Linked DNA regions of Caenorhabditis elegans. The protein of the gene in region 1 interacts with the protein of each later gene in a pairwise test. Each region holds a gene or a part of one and is shown on either strand. Other genes may lie near its edges. The genes, in order: chn-1, ufd-2, pdr-1 and ubc-13.

Region 1 (5,195 bases):
AACCTATAGACATTGCCTACCTCTGAAAGTAACAATAGATGGCTGAAATTGAAGTCTTGTCCGAGTTAATCGTATCCCGTTTCCACAAATTCGTGACAACATCTGAAGAATAATTTTTCACATTATAAGTTCAATAAAGAAGAGGCAAGAATGGAACTTGTGCGGGAAATATTCAAATAATAAATTTAATTAATTAATTTCGGTTTAATTATAATTTCTTCTGAACCATTGAAAGCTTTTCAGATCTAAACATCAAGGATTTTTAAACAGTTATTCTAAAACTCTGCAAACAAAAATAATAATGCCCGGAGAATGAAAATAACCATTTTTTGTGAACAAAAATTCTTTTTTGCATTTTATTTCAACAAATTTTCGAACAGAATTCAGCTTAAACAGCTTCGAAATTGAAAAAACGGAAAAAAATGCCGTCTAAATTTCACAACGACACTCCGCAATCCCGCACTCCCAGTGATGCAATTTTGAAAACTTCCCGATTTTATTTATTTTATTTACAAAGTCACGTAGATAGTAGGTTATAGACCTTCCTATTGGTATAAAAAAAATTGTAAAATGAAAAGAAAAGCATCACACCTCTTTATTTCATACAATATTTACAGAATCTCACTTTTAGCAGTAAAATTGAGAACTAAGCGACAAGTTGAAGTGCACTTTCTACCAGAAATTCAATGGAATTTTGAAAGAAAACTAAAGCTAAAAAATACACCAAGATACAAATACCGGTAGAACAGAAAAGGAGGGTACAGCGTTCAAACAATAAAAGTTTAAAAATCCGAAAAAAAAATGCAAAGAACTGAAACATGTAGAAAAGTGAAGAAGTTGCATTGAGAAGCAGCCAGGAATGTTTAATGTTGAATTTTTCAATATTCTGAATAGTATTTAAACCATGCCTCCGGGTTCATATTTAGCCCATGGGTTGTCGTCAAGAAACTTTTCAATAACCTGAAAATCATTAGAAATTAACTGAATTTATTACAGGGTGGGCCAAAAGTATGGTAACACATGAAGCGCTCTTTTACATGAGCTTTTCGCGTGACTGCCACGTCATACGTACATTCTTCTATCGAATACTGATAGCTGAATAAATTTCCTTCAATTTGACTCAAAATTTGTAATGTTTCCCAATAAGGTGCGATCTTTATCACCTCGACAATTTGGCGAACCCTTTCGAAAAAACGGTAATTTGGCACGCGGCACTTCCCACACAAACACACCTCCCATGCACGCCAATAATTTTCAGATGTATGATTTTTATGTTAAATTTAAAGTTAAAGAAGTGAAGAAGCGTTTTTAATTGTTTTTGTGGCATATAAAAATTTTCTGTGTCGACACTGGCGCCTAGCAAGAACCTTTGAATATTTCATGAATTCAACTTTGCGAAATTTACTCAGTTTTTTTGGTTTCGCAAGGCGTAACGTCCCACAAAATCATCCGAGCTCAATTTTCTAAAAAAATTCTGGAAAGTCAGGTCAAAACGTCTCGAAAAATACTAAAATGAATTTTTCTGCATACTGCTACTCGCCGCTCACATCCATCTTTCTGGCGACTATGCCATTCAAGACTTAACCTACTGCCGCAGTCCATGACAGAAATACCGTGATAGAAATTATTTGGATTTTTGTTTTTATAGAATCTCTAGACCAAGAGCATTCTTTGAACTATAAAAACTTGTAAGGCACTTGATGGATTCCTCGAGAAAAATGTAGAAATCCCGCAGAATGCCGACTTGCGTGCCATAAAGGTCGTGATCTCAAAAGTTCTGAAGGCCTGCAGCGATGCGGATGGGAATATTTTGAAAATTCAAAACGTTCATCTGGTCAGTATTTTATGGAGAACAAAACTTGTAACAATTGATGTAGTAACTCTTTCCACTAGTAAAGTTATAGAGCTGCAAACGTGTTACCATACTTTTGGCCCACCCTGTATAAATTTCCAACCTCTTTCAGTGCATAATTCGGAATAATTTCATTTTCGGTAAGTGGTTTTCTTGTGACTGGATCGAAATGGCCAATTCTTCTCAAATGCTGCACAATTTCTTCTCGGTCATACGTGATTCCAGATGGAACTATCACCGGCTCTTTCATCAGTTCCAGTGTAATTTTGCCGCAGAGCATCTCAGGAACCTCCCTGTTTTGCCGTTTTTCTTGTGTCTAAAAAATGATATTTTGATTCTCTTTGATCTCTCGTGATTTAGGAAATATTACACTCACGATAGTTTAGTATGCTTAATTCTGAAAGTATATTTTGAACCGGTTGAAAAAAGTTGGCAGGATTCGGAAACTCGTTTGGTTCGAATTAGAAACGCTTAGATATAAGAATTTGGGAATAGTATTACTAAAGTTTCAAAAAACTTTCAAGAAAAAGTATTTACCGCTAAAGTGAGTTCGGTTAGACGTTTTTTAGCCATATCTGCTCTTTGCAACTCCTCTGGGTTTTCAGAATTTTCTTGACGATCCTTTTCGATCAAGCTCTCCAAATACGTGTGAAATTCAACGTCTTGTACAATTCGCTTTGACTCCTCCTCCTCGTACTTTTGATGGCGTGCCCGTTTGAGGGCGTTCTCAATATCTGGAGCGTTCTGAAACCACAATTCCGTTTTAATAAACGCCGTTCAAAAATTTCTACCGTGATAACAGCATTATGGTAGAGCGCTTTGGAGAGACAGCTTATTGCTTCACTGTACTTTTTGCTCTGTAGAAATACATTTCCCAAGAAGTATAAAGGCTGAAAATGAATTGAATAACTAATTAACTTCAAGAGTTGAAAGCTTACTTTCACTTCGTTTGGGCTCAGTTCCAGTGCCCGTTTGCAGTCTTCTTCAGTCATCTTGAGGTTGTTAAGCTAGAATATATATTACAAAAGTTAAAGAAAAGTTTTAATCGAAGTATAAATACCTGAAAGTAACACATTGCTCTGTTCTGATAGTATTTCGGCAGAGGATTTACTTTGATGGCTTTCGAATAGTGATCAACGGCATCGTCATATCTGAAAGTTCAAAGACATGGGATTTATTACACATAAATGAAAATACCTTTTATTCATATAACACTTTTTGCCATTAGTATTATGTTGTTCGGCGCCGCTTGACATGCTGCAAACGCTGAAAATAAGCGGAAATTGTTCTAAAAATCGATTTTGAAAAGCATGATGCGGATAGAGTTGCGCGTAAGCTCTGACGCATTGTGTGCAAATTAAGCTTGCGGTGTTTGCGGTGTACTCGCTCCAAGCCAAAATTTGTTTTTTGCCGCAATTTTTTATATTTATGTTTTTTTTTAACAGTTTAATTTTTTTTTTTCAAATTCTGCTCCAATTTTCGTTTTAGTTCAGGGTATGGTGCAAACCAGAAAATCATATGGAACTCCATCCAATTACATACCAACATCGAATAAACGTAGGAGTCTCGATAGTTCATCAAGGCTTTATCCTGATCTAACTGAACAAATAAGTAATGCAAGAACCGAAAAGACTAGCGAGCAACAAGATGAAAATGATTTCACAGATGCGGATTTGAGTTTCAGTAGCTCACATGGATCAGAAGAATCCGATGTGTCATGTAACGAAGTGAATGAAAAATGGAAATACTGGACTGTTATTGGAATAGTTTTCATTGCGATTGTTGTGGGAGCATTGATTAAAGGAAGCAAAGTTACGGTTGGTAAAACTACACGCGGTATCGGAATAATTAACAATTTTCTAGACTAACGAATCGTATGAAAGTTACATCAAATCAGTCCGATCTGTCATCAAGAACGAGTTTCCTACAATTTCGAAAGAAAATCGGGATCTCTTAAGACTAATCGGGCAGAAAATCTATTTGGAACCAGAAAATCATGCTCCGTTGGTTGTTCTTGTTGGGGGAACACCGGCCAAACAAATTGCCGAAGCTGTGAATCGAGCTGTTCAAGATGCTAAAAGTGATGAGCATACTACGGCAGGAAAATCATCAATTAGAGTGGAAAGTGACACTGATAGAGCCGAGTTGCATGCGAATTTGCAGGAAAGTGAGTGATTTCAGAACCTCATAATATTTTATGTTTAAATAACTTTTTAACATCTCCAAAGTAATGTGAAAATTCGCTGAATTTTGAAAATATAATGCATTATTTCAGTCCTCGGACCCGCTCTTATTTCACAATCATCACCTCGAACAGCTGTGATTTTGGATGTAGACCTGCTAAAATGGGATGCAGTTCTTGTTCTTCATGCGTTCTCAGATCACGGAAAATATCCAGTTCCCAAAACAATACTTTTTCTGACTGTTTCTTCACAACAAGATTCAACGATGGACATTGCCAACACAAGTTGTGATGAGAAAATGGTCCAGTAAGTGGTTTTTGTAGATCAAAATAGTTAAGAAATTTTTTGATCTACAATTTTCGCACTTACAGATTTCTAACGAAACGCTGGATTGAGAACGGCGGCTCTTCAGACAACATTCCACCGATTATTGCACGAATTTCTTATTTTTTATGTGTTTAAAATTTTGCCGGTACATTACCTTCATTTTTCACGGGTTTTTATTTTTTAATTCTGTAATTTAATCCAAGGTTTTACAAGATCAGCTAAATAGTTCAAGGAATTCTGTGTTCATTGAATAAAAATAGTAAAAGTTTTACATGTTCGTATAAATCTCGTATATTCGCTTTAAAAATGCTGTCACTATTTTATTTTTTTATTGATCTGTTTTCTAAAATGATTAATACAGGATGCGTAGACGTGAGCCTGGGAGAGATGTTAAACGTGCAGCTGAGGAAGAATTTATCGAGTTAGAGAGACGTACGGATACGTACGAAGGTGAGAAAACGCAGGTTTTTTTAGCAAATTATAACTTCCTAATTTTTAGATGCCGTTCTCAACGAAGATCCACAGATGAAGGGATTCAGGTTTCCAAGCATCTTGTCGTTCCCGGTACCAAACAAGACTATTGAGGTTTTGTTATCAATTATCATCTAATATTTAAAAATGTTATTTTTCAGACTGGTGTTACAGACGAGAATCCATTCTCTGCGAGGAAATCCGCGTTTTTCACAAATCGACTGATTGGAAGAGAGGAGAGCGATTCATCATCTTCCAGAGAAGACTCTCCTCTTGGTTCCACGGAAACTGGAGAATCTTGTTCCACTACTGACGATGAAGAATCAAAGGAGAAAAGGATAGAGTACCGTGATTCCCAAACG
Region 2 (5,810 bases), on another chromosome or scaffold:
AAGAACCTCGGTTACGGTAGCTCCAAGAAGCCAGGTCCATCCGTGACAACGGTAAGCAGTGATGACGGCATCTCCTTCTGTCATTGCAGCCTTCATTCCGACGGCACAAGCTTCTTGACCAGAGTAGAGATGACAGAAACCGCGGATTTTCTTCTCCTTGTACAAGTTTCCAGCAGCAGACTCCATGCGACGAATGACCTGCATGTCACGGTAGTACTTGAGAGCATCTTCTCTGTTCAAGGTGACAGAGGTGTTTGGTCCATTGTCAAGTTTATGAAGTTTGCATGGCTTTGTGTGGAATGATACTTCCGTGCTCGCAAGACGAACTTGCTGTGTGCGGATTCCACTGGCAGTCAAGGATTGAAGTTGTCTCGCGAATAAAGACATTGCCGTCGACCAAATACGTTCCAGATGTACCAAGCTACTGAAAGCAGTAAATATATTTCAAAAATAAAAATTAATCGGATTTGGGATGACTGGGAACGTATAAATATTATAAGTTATTGACATGTAACAAATCACAAAACAATACGACACCGTTCGTTATAAACCTACAGAAATTTAGTCATTCCAGGTTCAAGGCTAAAATCAGAATATGTGAAGAAATTCACAAAGAATAAAAATATAAGTATGCGGATCGGAGACCGCAATAGAAGCCAAAATTTAGAAAATAAGTAAATTAGTATAAATTTATTCACATTCAAGGCACTACTCGTGTTTTTTAGGTTTGATGAAAGAGGGCAAGAATACCAACTTTAAGGAATCCATGCAGAAAATGAAACCGAAACCGAAAGATTAGACCATTGAGAGACCAGAAAAACTTATAAAATGAAAGGAACGCGTGAAATTTACAGACATTTTGCACATGTGCAATGGTCAAGTACAATAAATACAAAATTGGGTAACAATAGAATATGATAGAAAATTATTTCTTTGAATTTCTTTTCTGGCAAATCCATTCCTGAATCTTTGCCTTCAACTCAGAATCGGGAGAAAGCTCATTGTGCGACAAGGGAGCACGATTAAACGGATTATTGGGTGTACTGAGAAGATGCCTCTCGATGACTGCACGATCCATCACGTGTCCTGATGGCAATTTGACAGGATCAACCATAATTGCATCCATAATAGGATCCTTGAACTCTTCTGGTACATCATCATACTCTTCTTCAAGCTCAGCTTTTGCCTCATACTCTTTTTTAACATCTTCGGCCAAATGTTCGAAACTTTCGAGTTGACTGAATCCAACAATACTATTCTTTCTCATGCATTCAATCGCATTATGGAAGAATTCAGGACTGTAGGTACGCTGAAAAATAATTAAAATAAATCTCTTTGAATAAACAAATGTGTTAACCAACCTCGTCGTATGCTATGTATTTAACAAATGCAGGCATATTCAGCTTTAAATAGATTGAGATCAGCAACGATACAAACTCCCGTGGTTCCCATCCATAACTTCTTGGATCCTTGACTTTCAACTCGGAGGCCTTGCTACCAATGAGTTGCGATAAATTGTGATTCAACATTGCAGCAAGTCTTTCGCCGAGAACCGGAGTACGGAAAGGTTCGGGTGAGTTTACGGTAATCGATAGTAGCAATTTAAGATTACTTTTGGCTGTTCCAAGCCATCCCTTCACTTTACGTTTTGCCTCCTCGTACACGCCGAGATCCTGATTACGGATTTCTTGATCTGTGTTGTCCCATTCGACTTTGCTGAAAATAAAATTTATATTTTTAAGTTATCATTCGAAATAGTCTTACTTCGCCATCTTTTTCTCAACATCATGGATACTCTTCAAACCAGACAAGCTCTCATCTATACACCATGTTGCATCGTTAATCACCATATTGACAAACCGAATGAACTCTGCTCCGCATTCTCTTGCCATGTCCATAAACTTTCCTTTGTAGAACATATCTTCCTCCATTTTTTCCAACATGTACTGGATATTTCCACGAACGTTAAACTTTTCATAAAAGTCACCATTGTCTTCGAAATCCGAGTAGAACTTTATCATGCACATCAATAAATTTTCTTGTGCCATTCGAAGTCTGACCACGTTGAACCATAATGGAGGTTGAATAGAAGACAGCACTCTCACCAGTTTGGAAACGAGAAATGGGCTTTTGATGTAGTGATATTGTGTGAAAAGGACCGTCAGACGGGAAATCCAATCCGCATTTCTCTCCATGAGCAGTTTCATTCCATTGGAAATAGCGAATATGTAAAAATCGAGAGCATCCTCTAGAAAATATTCTGGGAGCGCACAAAACATTTGTGATACTTCAGTTGGAAGTTGACTGTCGTCTCCGAGCAAATCCAAGTTATCACAAAGCAAATTCAAAATGAATTTCATCTGCTTATCGACAAAATCCATAGAAGATGCCATTAATGCAGGATCTTGAGCTTGTGTCTTAACACATAAAAGATGACGAGACATGAGCTTCCAGTGTTCAGTCTCATAGTTCAACTTCTTTTCCACCTCAGCTCTCTCGAATCCTGACACAGTATTTAGTTTTTCTTTGAGCGCATTGATCTTATGCTTGAGCTCCTTAAGGTGTCGAGAGTATTCACTTATTTGATTCATCAATGGAGGAATAACGAGCCTCTGTGCTGCAATTGTCAGGAAGAAGCAGACTGTAGAGAAATGATATTCATCTGGACGATCTGCTGGAAAAAGAAAACAAGTTAATTTTTTGAGAAAGAAAAATGAAACTTACCGAATTGGCTAGCAAAAGCGACTGCTCCTGATTCGTCCATTTTGAGACGAGTCTCCTTGGAAATATTTATAAGCGAACTCGGTAAAAACGGATAATCTACGATAATTTTGGACAAGTCGATTTTCTCGGAAAACATGTACATCACGGACAAAAAATTTGTCATATAATGATCACACAAGACATCTGAAGGATCATAATGTGAACGAGTGCGAATGTCATTGGTGCTTATGATGGTGGCAATCCATCTTAGAGTTTTGTTGCGACTTCCTTGATCCGAAGCAAGCGGAAGCATCAATTGATGAAGCATAGTTCGAATTGGATCCATTCTTTGGAAATACAGTTTCTGCTCAGTGTTGACTGATCCATCATATTTTCTTGCATCTTCTTCACAATCCACAAAAACTCGATGATTTGGACGCCTTGCTGATGATTCGAGGCCGTACGAAAAGAACGGTCCTAGGAAGGACATTAAACCAAACTCGCGTCCTTGTATTTTTTCGGACGGCGTTGGGAGAAAATCTTCTCGATTAACAAGTAGGTTACTCAGTGGGCGAGGTCCGTTTGAAGGGAGTCTGATACTGAGAAGCAAGTTCATCACACGAAGGATCTGACGAACAATTTCGTCCTTATTGTCTTCAAAGCGTTGACAAATAATTCCGCTCCGCAAAATCCCGAAAATTGGATTAAATGTTTCTGTAATAGCGTCTTCATCGCATTCATCTGTACTTGCAAGGTATTCAACCAATGTTCTTAGAAAAACATTTGACACCGTATCCTCCAGAAGTCTTTTTGTGAACACCAAACTAGCATGTTGGCTGCGAAGTTGGCTCTCCAAGTAGCCTCTCTGTATCATCACAAAAACTGAGAAAACTGCTTTCCTGGTAGATTCGAGAGTTTTCTTGTAGCAATTTGAAGTACCGCTCTGAAAATTGTTAAATTAAAAATAGAACTATATTAGATAGAGTACCTTTCCAAGCTCATGATGGCAACGAACAAAATTGATTAAGAGAAACTCGATGGCGTCTTCTTCACGACATCCAGCAATGATATCAGGGTCGATGAAATTGAACGATCTTGACAGCCCCCTTCTTGATCCATCTTGAGATAAAAGTACAAACTTTGTGATTATTTCGGCAATGTTCGATTGCAGACACTGAGGAGAAACATCAAAATTCAGATTTTGAACATCGATTATCGCATCGGCGTAACGAAGCATTCTGTCATCTGATTTACCTTCACAGTCAAAGAGACTTGTGAGGAAGTCTTTGCTTTCAACATCTGCCTGAAAAAAGAACTAATCGCCTATGAGTATATAAAATGTCAGGCAAAAACGCACCACAGAAGCATCACTTATGTCCATCGGCTGCAAGCCTGCTTTCTCGTCTTCAATCATCTACGATTTCTGGAAATTCGTGATGATCACGTGATTTTGATAAGTAGAGTAACGATAAAGAGAATGGTGAGAGGTCTGATAACAAATATTTTACGGTAATGGGAACATTTATGAGACGGAAAAATTAAACGCAGAGGATTGTATGAAAACAATATTGGACTAGAATTGTGTATAGAGGAAAACATAAAATTATTTTCGAGAGCAAAAACTGTAGGAAGACATTTGCACCGCGCGCGCAAGAGATAGAAAAATCGAAGGAGCAATGCAGCTGCAAAGACGCTGACATTTCGGCCTCTCAATGAACATGCAGTGGAGCGCGTTTGCTGCACTACCGAGACACCACATTTTTGCAGGAGAGAAACATCGGTAGAAAACTGAATTCGGAAGAACGAGTGTTAAATATTGTATCTTTATGATTCTATTTTCAGACACCACTTAATTTGAATATTTTTAGAGCAATAAGAATTTGAAGGGGCAGATAAATTAAGCAACAAAAAAGTATATAAATGAACGAGACTGTGGATGGAACGCACATTTTTGATTTTACAAAATTTTATTCTTTAATAAATATTGTTTTTTTTAAACGAGAATAAACCTCACTTTCAATAAAAATCGTTTAGTTAACTATAGTTTCAAGAGGAAAACAGTAGCGCAACTCAACAATCGATTGTGTACAATTGAGACCCGAGGGACGTCATTGTGAGACTCACCCAATTCTAGACATTTATAGGCGGGTACCTGGTCCACCAGCAGATGTCCTTCAATACGATAAAAAATCAATCAATACACACGTTTGTTGCTACTCTGATGCAATCGTAAATATTCCGGGATATGGCCAGGGTACTGTAGGATTACCGTGGATTATTGTACTTTTAGAAAACTATTGAAACGATCAAAAAAATTCATATGGCCATATATGGTTTGCCTTGAAACTTCTATGTAATAGTGTTGTGTTTTATTCTTCAGATGATAGATTTTTAAATTGATTGAAAATTGAAAATAAATTGAACTTTTTTATTCCAAGAATACAGTAAAAGTTTAATAAACGAGTCTGAAAATCTTCAACCAAAAGAAATCAAAGCATCCGAACATCTTTTTTCACTGTAAAATAACAACCACATTAAATTCGAGTGTTTTTTTTTTGGAAGTTCCACATTGGAACAAATTGAAAATAAATTAATGTTTATGTTATTTCATAGTTAAATAATCTAATATTAAAATAATGAATTAATAATGAGATCAGCCAAGATAACATGTATGGTTTTAATGTAAATGTAGTCTAGATATTTAACTAATTACGCAACACGGTTTCTTTTTGTCCGTCGCCAGTTCCTTTGTTACAGAAATTTCCGAATTCACTTTTGCCAGATTTCCACCTTTCGGAATTGATATTGTAGAATTATTAGTGCTCTCCAAGTATTTGGCGTTCTGGAGAAGTTTGTTAAGAGAGTTTTAAAAATAAAAAAGCATACCCTTGCTTCAACCAGTTTTACTATTTCATCAATATCTGGCCATGAATCTGATTTATCGTCTTCAATGTGCTTGTAAAGAATTTCTCCTGATTTATCCACAAGTACAGTACCACCTTTTTGAGAAATGTAAGAAACTGAGTCTTCTGAGCTTGATGCTTCTTTCGCAACAATTGAATCTCCTTCGACGAGAGAGGCTTCCACAACCTGAAAATTTCCAATTT
Region 3 (4,154 bases), on another chromosome or scaffold:
ACGTTGCTGCTGCATTTGTTGTTGCTGCATTTGTTGCTGCCGCATCATTTGTTGCTGCTGTTGCTGCTGCATTAACATCTGAAATGTTTTTATTTTATAATCTTTTTATTCCTAGTTTAAAATTTGGTTATATGGTTTTAAAAAAGCTCTGAAAACGTCTTAAAATGAAACTTTAAAGGATATTTGAGTGAGAAATTTTCAAATTTCAGTTAAAAAATGCGGTGAGTTTTGTTTTCATGAAAAAGTTGTTTTTTTAATTTTCATGAAAAAAATAATTTTCAGCCCACTCCAAAACTGAGATATATCCCGAAGCTCAAGAAATGTTTCCATGTTGGTGTGATTGTACATTTTCATTAATTTTTTTTGTTCCCAAAATTAAAAAAAAGACATTTTTTGACTTCAATTGTTTTAAGGATGAAGCCGTAGAAAAGTGTGAAATTTTTCCGAAAAAGGTTGTAAAATGTGCTCAAATTCACTAAAATTTACTCTCAAGTTCAAAAGCACAAAAAATCTTACATGTTGTTGCTGCGGCGTCATACTTGGTGGAGGTCCTTGTCCTGACATGTCTATGGAGATCCCTGCGAGAAATGTGTTCTTTGAAATTTGGCAAAACATTTAAAAAAAGGTATGAAATGAGCGAAATACTCAGCAACAAAAATTGAGAAAAAGATCTAAAATTTGAAGAGAAAAAATGTCAATGTAACTTCAGACACACCGTAATTGTTGTAAAAATCTACAGAATAACACGTACAATCTCTAGAAAAGATGAATTTTAGAGAGTTATTAATTAAACCAATGGTCCCATTGACACTCTTCCTTCCATTCTGTCTTGCACTTGAAACACCAATCCATTCCACACGAGGTACAGTGAATGTGAGCACATCCGCCGTTCCGTTCGGTTGCCACGTGGCATTTTGGGCATCTTCTGGAAGAATTTACAGTTTTTTGTAGTGGATAATCGCTGAGATCACCTTGTAGTCGCGTCAATTGTAGTTCGGGTGAGATCGTCTTCGCTCTGGCACACACAATTTCTTTCGAAGCACTTTCTGAACGATGATATTTATTGCGATAAAATTTCCGATTTAGAAGCTCAAAATACCTGCAAAACGAAAAAAAACAATCTGGACACTGGGATCTTCCATCGTCATCATAGGGCTCCCAGAAGAAGCTCTGCCCACACGAGACATTCGGGCAAGTCACACCCTTGTCGTCCACGGCAATCAATCGCTCGGTGGCTTTCCGTTGGTATTCGCTGTACGACGTCTGACCCATAATGTGGAAATGGTGCACATCTTGTACCACTCCTGAAGTTATTTTTCAATTAAATGTTCTGTTTAATTTCTTTAAAACTTTTTTTTTCAATTTTCTCGGCATTGAAAAACTATTGAAACATGTGAGAAAATTTTCAAAATAAATTTAAATAGAACGGGTGGGGGTTTTTTTTGCAAAAAAAAAACCATGCCAGACTTGCAAAATGGAAACATAACATATTTGTATTTTTTGGAAGATTTTTTGTTTCTATCAATTAGTTTTCAGGATCACTACTGCAGAAAATTGAATGGTTTTGATAAAATCGAACGAACTATTGCACCCTGGATAGGGGCAGAAAATGGTGAAGCCATGCGGCGGCTGATTGACAAAACCGAATCGTTCCAGTTGACTTAGCAAATAATCCTTTAAAATTAAACAATTTCAACAAAAAATTTAGATTCTTACTCACTCTGAAACAGAATTGGCATGTAATATGATTGCATCCGAGGTCGAAGATCACTTTCTCCTTCCCATCACAAACACAGCACTCGGTCATTTGCCAATTTCCGCGTACGTGAGTTAGAGCTGCGGCCGGATCGTTGCAGGCTAGACATTTGAACTTGAATTCAGCGAAAAGACCTGGAGTACAGCATTCTTCGCAGACCGCCGGTATTCTCTTGCTTTTGAGAACGTCGGACCAGTTCTGGGGTTCAGATTTGACTAGAACAGAGGTTGACGAGCATTTTTGGCAATAAACCCGCAGTTTGCCGCGCTTGACGTCGTCACAATTTTTGCACCACACGTAGAAGCTTCCGAGAATTGAAGAATCTGTTGTTATTTTTGCAGTAGTAGCACCGTTTTCGTTGTGACTATTGAACTTTGGACGGAGAAGCATGATTTGTCTGAAATAATATTATTTGAATAACAATTCCAGTTATTTATATAAATAACAATTCCAGTTATTTATATAAGTAAATATTTACTTGACCTACGTTGCAGGTGTCAGTGACAAATCCCTCATAATCGTTGATTTTGATAACTTTTTCCCACAGAAAACCACTTCCAGCTCATCGCTGGGAATTTCGGTGAGCTTTTCCACATCTTTTGTGAGATCTTCGATATTTCCAGTTATATTTATCTGAAAAAAATAATGTATATATTCAAAGTTTGAAATGTCCACTACATTAAGTGTTAGATTCCTACGTTGACCTGTTTTTCTATCTTGTATTAATATAGAGATTTCATCAGACATGCTTCATGAGAGCTGAAAATTTGACTTAGAAATTAACAAAAAAATTTCCTGCTAGCGGGCCTGCTTGCAGTTTTAAACATTAAATTCAAAAAACTAGTCGAGGCCTTGAAGCCCCATGTTTTTGTGCACACTAGTCCTCGCAGTCATGTGCGCCCTATGGCAAGCGTAGCGGGTCGCGTCGCGTGTGAGACAAACGCAGCGAGCTTCAAATTCGAACTGTTTTCCACGAAATTTGAAACGGTTTTCACGCATTTTTCTCTTATTTTCGGGCGAGTTTCTCGTTTTCTAATCATTTCCACATTTTAGAATGAAGTCCAGTACATCAAAAGAGAAGGTGTGCGGCGAAAACTCGCGTCACATTTTCAACATGATTCTAAACTCACAGCGACCGCAATTCGATATTAAGGATATAGGTTAGTTTCAATTATCATTTTCAAATTTTAATGACGTGTTTCAGGAATGTTTCATTTGATTGATGAGATTGAGCGTCTCCGCAAGCTGTGGAAAGATTCCGAGGAATCCAAAAAGCGGCTGAATGCAGATATGAGAGAGGCCGAAGAAGCACTTGCGTAAGTGAAATATTTCATGTTTACGTGTTTAGAAAACACTATTATTTCAGAAAAGCTCGCAAGAAGCTGGCAATGTTCGATATCGATGTCAAAGACACTCAGAAACATTTACGCGCGTTGATGGAAGAAAATAAGGCGTTGAAGCTCGATCTAAACGTCTACGAGACTCGTGAAAAGCAGCTGAAAGATGCGATGAAGAACGGTATATTCAATAGTCTCACCAAGGAAGACCGCGATCAGTTCAAGTTTCTTCACGAGCCACTGGTCCGGACATACTCGAAACGGGTGCAGCAGAGGCATCCACATTTGATGGAGGACACACAGGACGATGAGGACGATAGTGAGGTGGATTACGATGAAACTGGAGACAGTTTCGAGGAAGTTATTCATTTGCGCAATGGAAGAGAGGTCAGAAGAAGCTCAGCTGCTGGAAACGCAGTTGGTGGCAAGCGGAGAAGCGCGTCAGCACATGCGATTACTGCTGCTGCCAATTCGAAGAGGAGCAGAAGCCGTGTTATGACAGCTACTATAGATGAAGAGCCGGTAAAAATTATGACATGACAGTTTTTGTTGAATTGCGTTTGTTCTTTCAGAATGAGGGTGGTACACCTCCAAAAAGATGCCGTGATGATGGTTCTACACCTCATCAAGAAATGACAACTACCACCACTACCACCACCACCACTACTATTCATAACTCTCGAGCTCAGAACCAGGACCCGCCACGTGTCTCACTTCACCGCCAGCTCACCCGCAGGAGCTTGAGCTGTGGAAGTATTCCATCATGCGATCAAACACCAGGACAAACCACAAATAACATCGGCCTCGGCATGTCGTCCGCCATTCTCACCAAAAGCACACTTGATATCCGAACCCTGAAACGTGGCACGCCGGCGTGGACTAATGGAACAACTCGTGACATCGCAATGAGACCACACACGTTTATAGAGGCAGGAATCAAAGCGGTACGTGTAAAAAATGCTAACAAATTTCTTTAAAGTGAGCTCTGTAGTGATGAAAATCATGCTAATCATGAAGAGGCGCGTCCGTCTCGGACCCCATGTTGCAAACATCTATTTCTG
Region 4 (5,423 bases), on another chromosome or scaffold:
TAGTAAAATACTTAAAACCGACACCCTCGTCTAGAATGGCAAAAATTCATACATTGTTCCTAGCACCAAGTTTGTATTTCACTCCATTGACAGAGATTGTACTACGATTGAATTCCAGCTTCTTGATAATCAGAGGTTGCGATTTTTCGATCTTTACAAGAGATGGGCATTGTGCGGCCAGTCGGAATCTGAGAATTATGTATTTAGTTAATTACAGAAACTGTTTGTCTCACCTTTTATTCGCCTCCAAGTGTTTGATAATGCACTGCATGGATAGATAGGTGAGTGGCTTCGAGTCCATGTTTGCAGAAATCTGAATTAAAAATTTTTTATCGGTAATTGCTTCAAATTTCGCAAGAAAAACATGAAAAAACACAGTTAAAATTCGAAAAATCGAAAGAAAAATCAAAAAGCTACAGTTGAACACATCGCGATGAAACCCATGCAACAAGATACTGTGTGTCCCTTTAAATTTACAGTAATATCAGCGTGCATTTTTTCGGCATTTCTCACTTTCGGCAATCGGCGATTCAGGCAGTTTCCAGTTTTTAAAATTTCTATCACAATATCTACTATTTATTCTTCTATTTATTCTTGCATTTTTTCCGGTTGAAAACCATCAGGCTACTGCTGGAAATGCCTTCAAAAATTTCTCAAAAATTCTCAAAAAAAATAACGACTTTATTCAAAAAATCATCAAAATTTCCAAAAGAGAAAAAAAAATCAATTTCGATGGAAGAAGATTTTCTGGAAACTGGGAGAAAAAAAGAAGAATTTAAATTAAATGGACGACGACGGTTTGATGAGGATCGTGAGACAACAGAGACAAAAAAATTTTTTAAAAAATTCAATGGGATGGGGAGGAAATTGTAGAATTTCGAGACAAAAAACCGGGCGGGGACAAAAAAAATCAATATTTAGATATATAGTAGAAGATGGGGAAAATCGAGATTTTTATGCAATTCATACAATTTATTGGAAGTTCGTAAGGGGGCGGGAAAAGGCGGGACAAAGAGCAGGCTGAGAGAATTTCGAATTTTTTTTTGTTTGATGTGATTTTTTGTAGTTGTTCTAGAGGCGAGCTTCGGAGACGATCAGGCTTCTGAAAAAAAATTATTAATTTATTTTTTAAATTGTTAAAAAAAATTTATTAAAATGCATATTTATTGTTGGGTCCCACAGCGAAAACTAGGAAAATCTACTGTTTTCAGAGCCGAAATCGAAAATTCGAAGGGTCGATTTACGCAGCCCGTGTACTCCTCGAGGAGAAGTGGGAATGATTTTTATACAGTTTTTTAACATTAAAACTACCAAAAAAATGGCTCATAAATTCAATTTCCAGCTGAAAACTGCTTTTAAGACACTAAATACTTCGATTTTCACTGAAAAACTGGAATTTAGCGCTAAAGTTGTTATAGTTATGTAAAATTTGTGGAAAAGTCGATGCGAAAACGGTCCAAAATCAATCATTTTAGCGCAATTTTGGAGCAAAAATCGAAAAATCGAACTAGAAACCTCCGAAATTGGCACATGTCGATTTACGCAGCTCGTGTACTCCCCGCGGAGAAGAGGGGTGAAGCACATGGATTTTGAGGCGAAAATTGTTGATGTTGGCCTATTTTTTCCTGATTTGAATCTTTAAATCACCAATTTAGGTCTAAATTATAGTGTTTCTGATAAATTTTTATTTTCGATTTTTTAAAGGTTGAAAAACTAAAAAAAATTCGAAAATAAAAATTTATCAAAAAAGCTATAATTCCGAGCAAAAATTGATGATTTAAACGTTCAAATTAGAAAAAATAGGCCAAAATCAATAATTTTCACCTTAAAACCCGTTTTTTTCACCCCCACTTCTCCTCGGGGAGTACACGAGTTGACGTAAATCGACATGCGCCAATTTCAGGGATTTTTAGTTCGATTTTTCGATTTTGGCTCCATAATTGCGCTAAAAGTATTGTTTTTCGCCGTTTTCGTCGACTTTTCCTGAAATTTTACTTAAATATAGCAAATTTAGCCGTAAATTACAGTGTTTTCCGTGAAAATCGATATTTTTAGTGGCGTAAAAGCAGTTTTCGGCTGGAAATCGGATTTACGAGCCATTTTTTGATAGTTTTAATGTTAAAAAGGTCAAAAACTGTATAAAAATCATTCCAACTTCTCCTCGGGGAGTACACGATCGGCGTAAATCGACATGAGGTCGAATTTTCGATTTTGGCTTCAAAAGAATTGCAAATTTTCATCGATTTCGTGGCGAGACCCTAGATATATTACTGACGAGCATAGTTCATCGTCCATTGTTTTGCAGTCTTAATCGCCTCGGCCTCATTCGTTTTCCATTGCTCGGCGACATCAGTTGCCAGTGGATCTTCCGGATTTGGAGCCGAAAGAAGAGCCTGAATCGACAGAAGAACCGTGCGAATTTGAAGAGCCGGCGACCATTTATCTGAAAAATTGGGCATTTTTTTTCGAGAAATTCATGTGAAAAAGCTCAAAATGAGCAGTTTTTCGAGATAATTCGCATTAAAATAGCCGAAAAATTGAACTTTTCTATGGATAATTTGATTAAAATGCGCAAAAAATGAGATATATCTATCGAAATGCTTTCTTTTGGAGTAATTTTTCGATAAAAATTGGAAAAAATGCGCAAAAATAAAGAAGTTTTCGAAGAAATTACACGAAATTTGTAATTAAAAATCGAATTTTACTATCTCTCCATTGAAATTACTAAAAAATCAGATTTTTCAGCAATTTTAACAAGAAATTCGCTTTAGAATGATTAAAAATAGCTAATTTCGATCATAAATTGAAAATGTCCCTCGAAAACTGGGGGTTCGCCGAAATTTTCGCAATTTTGAATAAAAATTGCCAAAAAAACGCCGTTTTCCGAGATTTTCGATGAAATTTGGTTAAAAATGCGCAAAAATGATACATTTTCGCAGTTTCTTTGAAAAAAATTTCACAAAAAGAGGGTTTTTTAAAATTAAATTTCGAGAAATTCGCATTCGAATGCACCTAAATATATTTATTAGAACAAAAAAAAACACGATTTTTCTCGAAATTTCGTCTATTTTGTCAAAAAACGCTCAAAATAAGCTGTTTTTGATCCATTTTTCCCATTAAAATGCGTAAAAATTCATATTTTTTGGATTATTTTCTCATTATGCGAAAAATGAGCATGAAATTCGGATTTATACGCTCAAAAAGAGCTAAATTTGATTTAAATATTAAAAAATACAAAAAATTCATCTAAACTCGTGAATATTGTTGAAAATGGGCTGTTTTTCGAAAAATTTCAAGTAAAAATATCCAAAAAAGCTAGATTTCTGAATTTTATCAATAAATTTGTGTTAAAACAGTGTAAAAATAGCAAATTTCGATGAAAATTCAGAAAATTCTCTAAAAATAATTGATTAAAACGCTAAAAACCGTTTTTTAAAAAATTTTTTCACTAATTTTTCAAAAAAAGGGGAAAATCTATTCACCCTTGAGAATATCGAGACAAATTCTGCCGAGTTTATCAATATTCGGATGATAGATCTTTGTCATGAATCGAACTTTCGGTGCAGCCATCGGATACTCTTCCGGAAGGAAAAGCTCCAACTTGAAGACACCACCAGCAAATGGAGAATCGTCTGGCCCGGCTATCATGACATGGAAGTATCTGGCGTTGCTCTCGTCTGGATTTGCCGATATTCCGGGAACCGGATCCGCGAGAAGTCGTTGTGTCTCTTTGATGATTCGACGCGGAAGTTGCCCGGCCATTCTGCAAGAAATTTTATTGTGTGTTTTGGGGCTTTTAAGCTGATTTTTCTATTAGAAAAACGGATTTTTGAGTGCAAAATGGTGAAAACTGAATAAAAAAATATATATAAATGTATAAATTTTGGCTGAAATAAAAGAAAAAAGACTAATAATTCAAGGTTTTTTAATTAAAAATCAAAGTTTTTTCTCGAAATATCGGAAAAGGGCCATTTTCCGCAAAAAAAAAGTTAAAATATCTAATTTCCTAGGGGAAACTATGAATTTTTACTTTAAAAAACTGTTTTCCTCGAATTTTCAACGTAAACATCGGCCAAAAATCGATAAAATTGTGTTTTTGGCATTTCCAACCAAAAAAATGCTCGTTTTTAGCGATTTGGAATAATTTTTTTGGAAAAAAAAATCGATTTTGGTGCAAAATAATAGCAAAATTGGATTTTTGTGCAGTTTCCATGGAAAAGTGGAATAAATTTGATGGTTTTTGAGTGATTTTAGAGCTTTTCCCAGCGAAAAACTGTTTTTCTGTTAAAAATTCAACAATTAGACGGATTTTTGAGTGCAAAATGGTGAAAACTGAAGAAAAAAATGTATAAATGTATAAATTTTGGCTGAAATAAAAGAAAAAAGACTAATAATTCAAGGTTTTTTAATTAAAAATCGAAGTTTTTCTCGAAATATCGGAAAAATGCCATTTTTTTTAGTACAAAAAGTTAAAATATCTAATTTTCTGCGGGAAACTATGAATTTTTCAATTAAAAAACTGTTTTCCTCGAGTTTTCAACGTAAACGTCGGCCAAAAATCGATAAAATTGGGTTTTTTGTGATTTCCAACATTAAAAAACGCTCGCTTTTCACGATTTCGAATAATTTTTTTGGAGAAAAAAATCGATTTCGGTGCAAAATAATGGCAAAATTGGATTTTTGTGCAGTTTCCATGGAAAACAGTGATGAAATCGCATATTTTTGCAGAAAACTGACATTTTGGAGTAATTTTAATCAAAAATAAACGCAAAAATGTGTATTTTTGACGTTTTTGGCATTACGAATTCGTTATTTTTGCGGAAAATCGATATTTTCAGCACCAAAATGTTGAAAAAGACGCGTTTTCTACGGGAGCTTTCAGTTTTTCATCTGAAAATATGTAAATTCACCGGTAGTTTGAGTGAAAAAATCAATTCAACAGTGAAATTTCGAAAAAATAGGATTTATGTGCATTTCAGAGTGAAAATTGGCATTTTTGACGTATTTTCCATCAAAAATAATGCCAAAAACTGAATTTTCGACGTTTTGAGCATTTTGAAAACGCTAAATTCGAGAAAATCGATATTTTCAGCAAAAAAACGCTGTAAATTCTCGTTATCCACGCGAAATCTTAATTTTTATACTAAAAATGTATAAATTTAACGGTAATTTAAGTAAAAAATCAATTCCTTTGCGAAATTTTTAGAAAAATTGGATTTCTGTGCATTTCCCAACGAAAACTGTTATGAAATCGCATATTTTTGCGGAAAAATCACATTTTTCGGTAATTTTAGTAGAAAATATCGCCGAAAATTGATTTTTCGGCGTTGAAAAAGCTGAAAATGGGTATTATTTTCCATTTTTACGTATTTTCCATCAATAATAACGTTTCGAAATCGATAAAATTGGTTTTTGGAGGTTTT

The links.
Region 2: the proteins of chn-1 (region 1) and ufd-2 interact in a two-hybrid assay, tested with the Caenorhabditis elegans proteins (2 studies listed by BioGRID).
Region 3: the proteins of chn-1 (region 1) and pdr-1 interact in a two-hybrid assay, tested with the Caenorhabditis elegans proteins (one study listed by BioGRID).
Region 4: the proteins of chn-1 (region 1) and ubc-13 interact in a two-hybrid assay, tested with the Caenorhabditis elegans proteins (one study listed by BioGRID).

Annotation. Positions count from the first base shown.
Region 1 is NC_003279.8:6,180,739-6,185,933, forward strand, and holds chn-1 (E3 ubiquitin-protein ligase CHIP), read right to left. Parts: upstream 3,119-5,195; 5' UTR 3,109-3,118; coding exon 3,050-3,108; intron 3,004-3,049; coding exon 2,913-3,003; intron 2,860-2,912; coding exon 2,791-2,859; intron 2,743-2,790; coding exon 2,644-2,742; intron 2,597-2,643; coding exon 2,390-2,596; intron 2,169-2,389; coding exon 1,956-2,168; intron 961-1,955; coding exon 898-960; 3' UTR 576-897; downstream 1-575. Other genes in the region: putative mitochondrial import inner membrane translocase subunit tin-44, read right to left, coding at 21-102; T09B4.2 (Torsin-1B), read left to right, coding at 3,349-3,669, 3,716-4,019, 4,128-4,341, 4,407-4,497; GPI mannosyltransferase pigv-1, read left to right, coding at 4,725-4,812, 4,862-4,947, 4,995-5,195.
Region 2 is NC_003280.10:8,061,059-8,066,868, reverse strand, and holds ufd-2 (Ubiquitin conjugation factor E4 ufd-2), read right to left. Parts: upstream 4,129-5,810; 5' UTR 4,118-4,128; coding exon 4,061-4,117; intron 4,019-4,060; coding exon 3,692-4,018; intron 3,647-3,691; coding exon 2,725-3,646; intron 2,675-2,724; coding exon 1,765-2,674; intron 1,717-1,764; coding exon 1,362-1,716; intron 1,310-1,361; coding exon 926-1,309; 3' UTR 676-925; downstream 1-675. Other genes in the region: pdha-1 (Pyruvate dehydrogenase E1 component subunit alpha), read right to left, coding at 1-424, 556-569; T05H10.8 (peroxiredoxin-like family protein), read right to left, coding at 5,405-5,545, 5,590-5,793. UniProt on the Caenorhabditis elegans protein: Acts as an E4 ubiquitin ligase mediating the assembly of polyubiquitin chains on substrates ubiquitinated by another E3 ubiquitin ligase. The elongation of preexisting ubiquitin chains preferentially targets ubiquitin 'Lys-29' and 'Lys-48' residues.
Region 3 is NC_003281.10:13,769,880-13,774,033, reverse strand, and holds pdr-1 (E3 ubiquitin-protein ligase parkin), read right to left. Parts: upstream 2,516-4,154; 5' UTR 2,504-2,515; coding exon 2,435-2,503; intron 2,390-2,434; coding exon 2,244-2,389; intron 2,154-2,243; coding exon 1,721-2,153; intron 1,675-1,720; coding exon 1,584-1,674; intron 1,305-1,583; coding exon 1,100-1,304; intron 1,047-1,099; coding exon 972-1,046; intron 926-971; coding exon 784-925; 3' UTR 690-783; downstream 1-689. Other genes in the region: mdt-29 (Mediator of RNA polymerase II transcription subunit 29), read right to left, coding at 1-78, 517-564; cyk-4 (Rac GTPase-activating protein 1), read left to right, coding at 2,811-2,916, 2,961-3,072, 3,123-3,615, 3,666-4,037.
Region 4 is NC_003282.8:2,921,929-2,927,351, forward strand, and holds ubc-13 (Ubiquitin-conjugating enzyme E2 13), read right to left. Parts: upstream 3,764-5,423; 5' UTR 3,763-3,763; coding exon 3,483-3,762; intron 2,444-3,482; coding exon 2,276-2,443; intron 1,103-2,275; coding exon 1,095-1,102; 3' UTR 663-1,094; downstream 1-662. Other genes in the region: fbxc-45 (F-box C protein), read right to left, coding at 53-188, 234-301.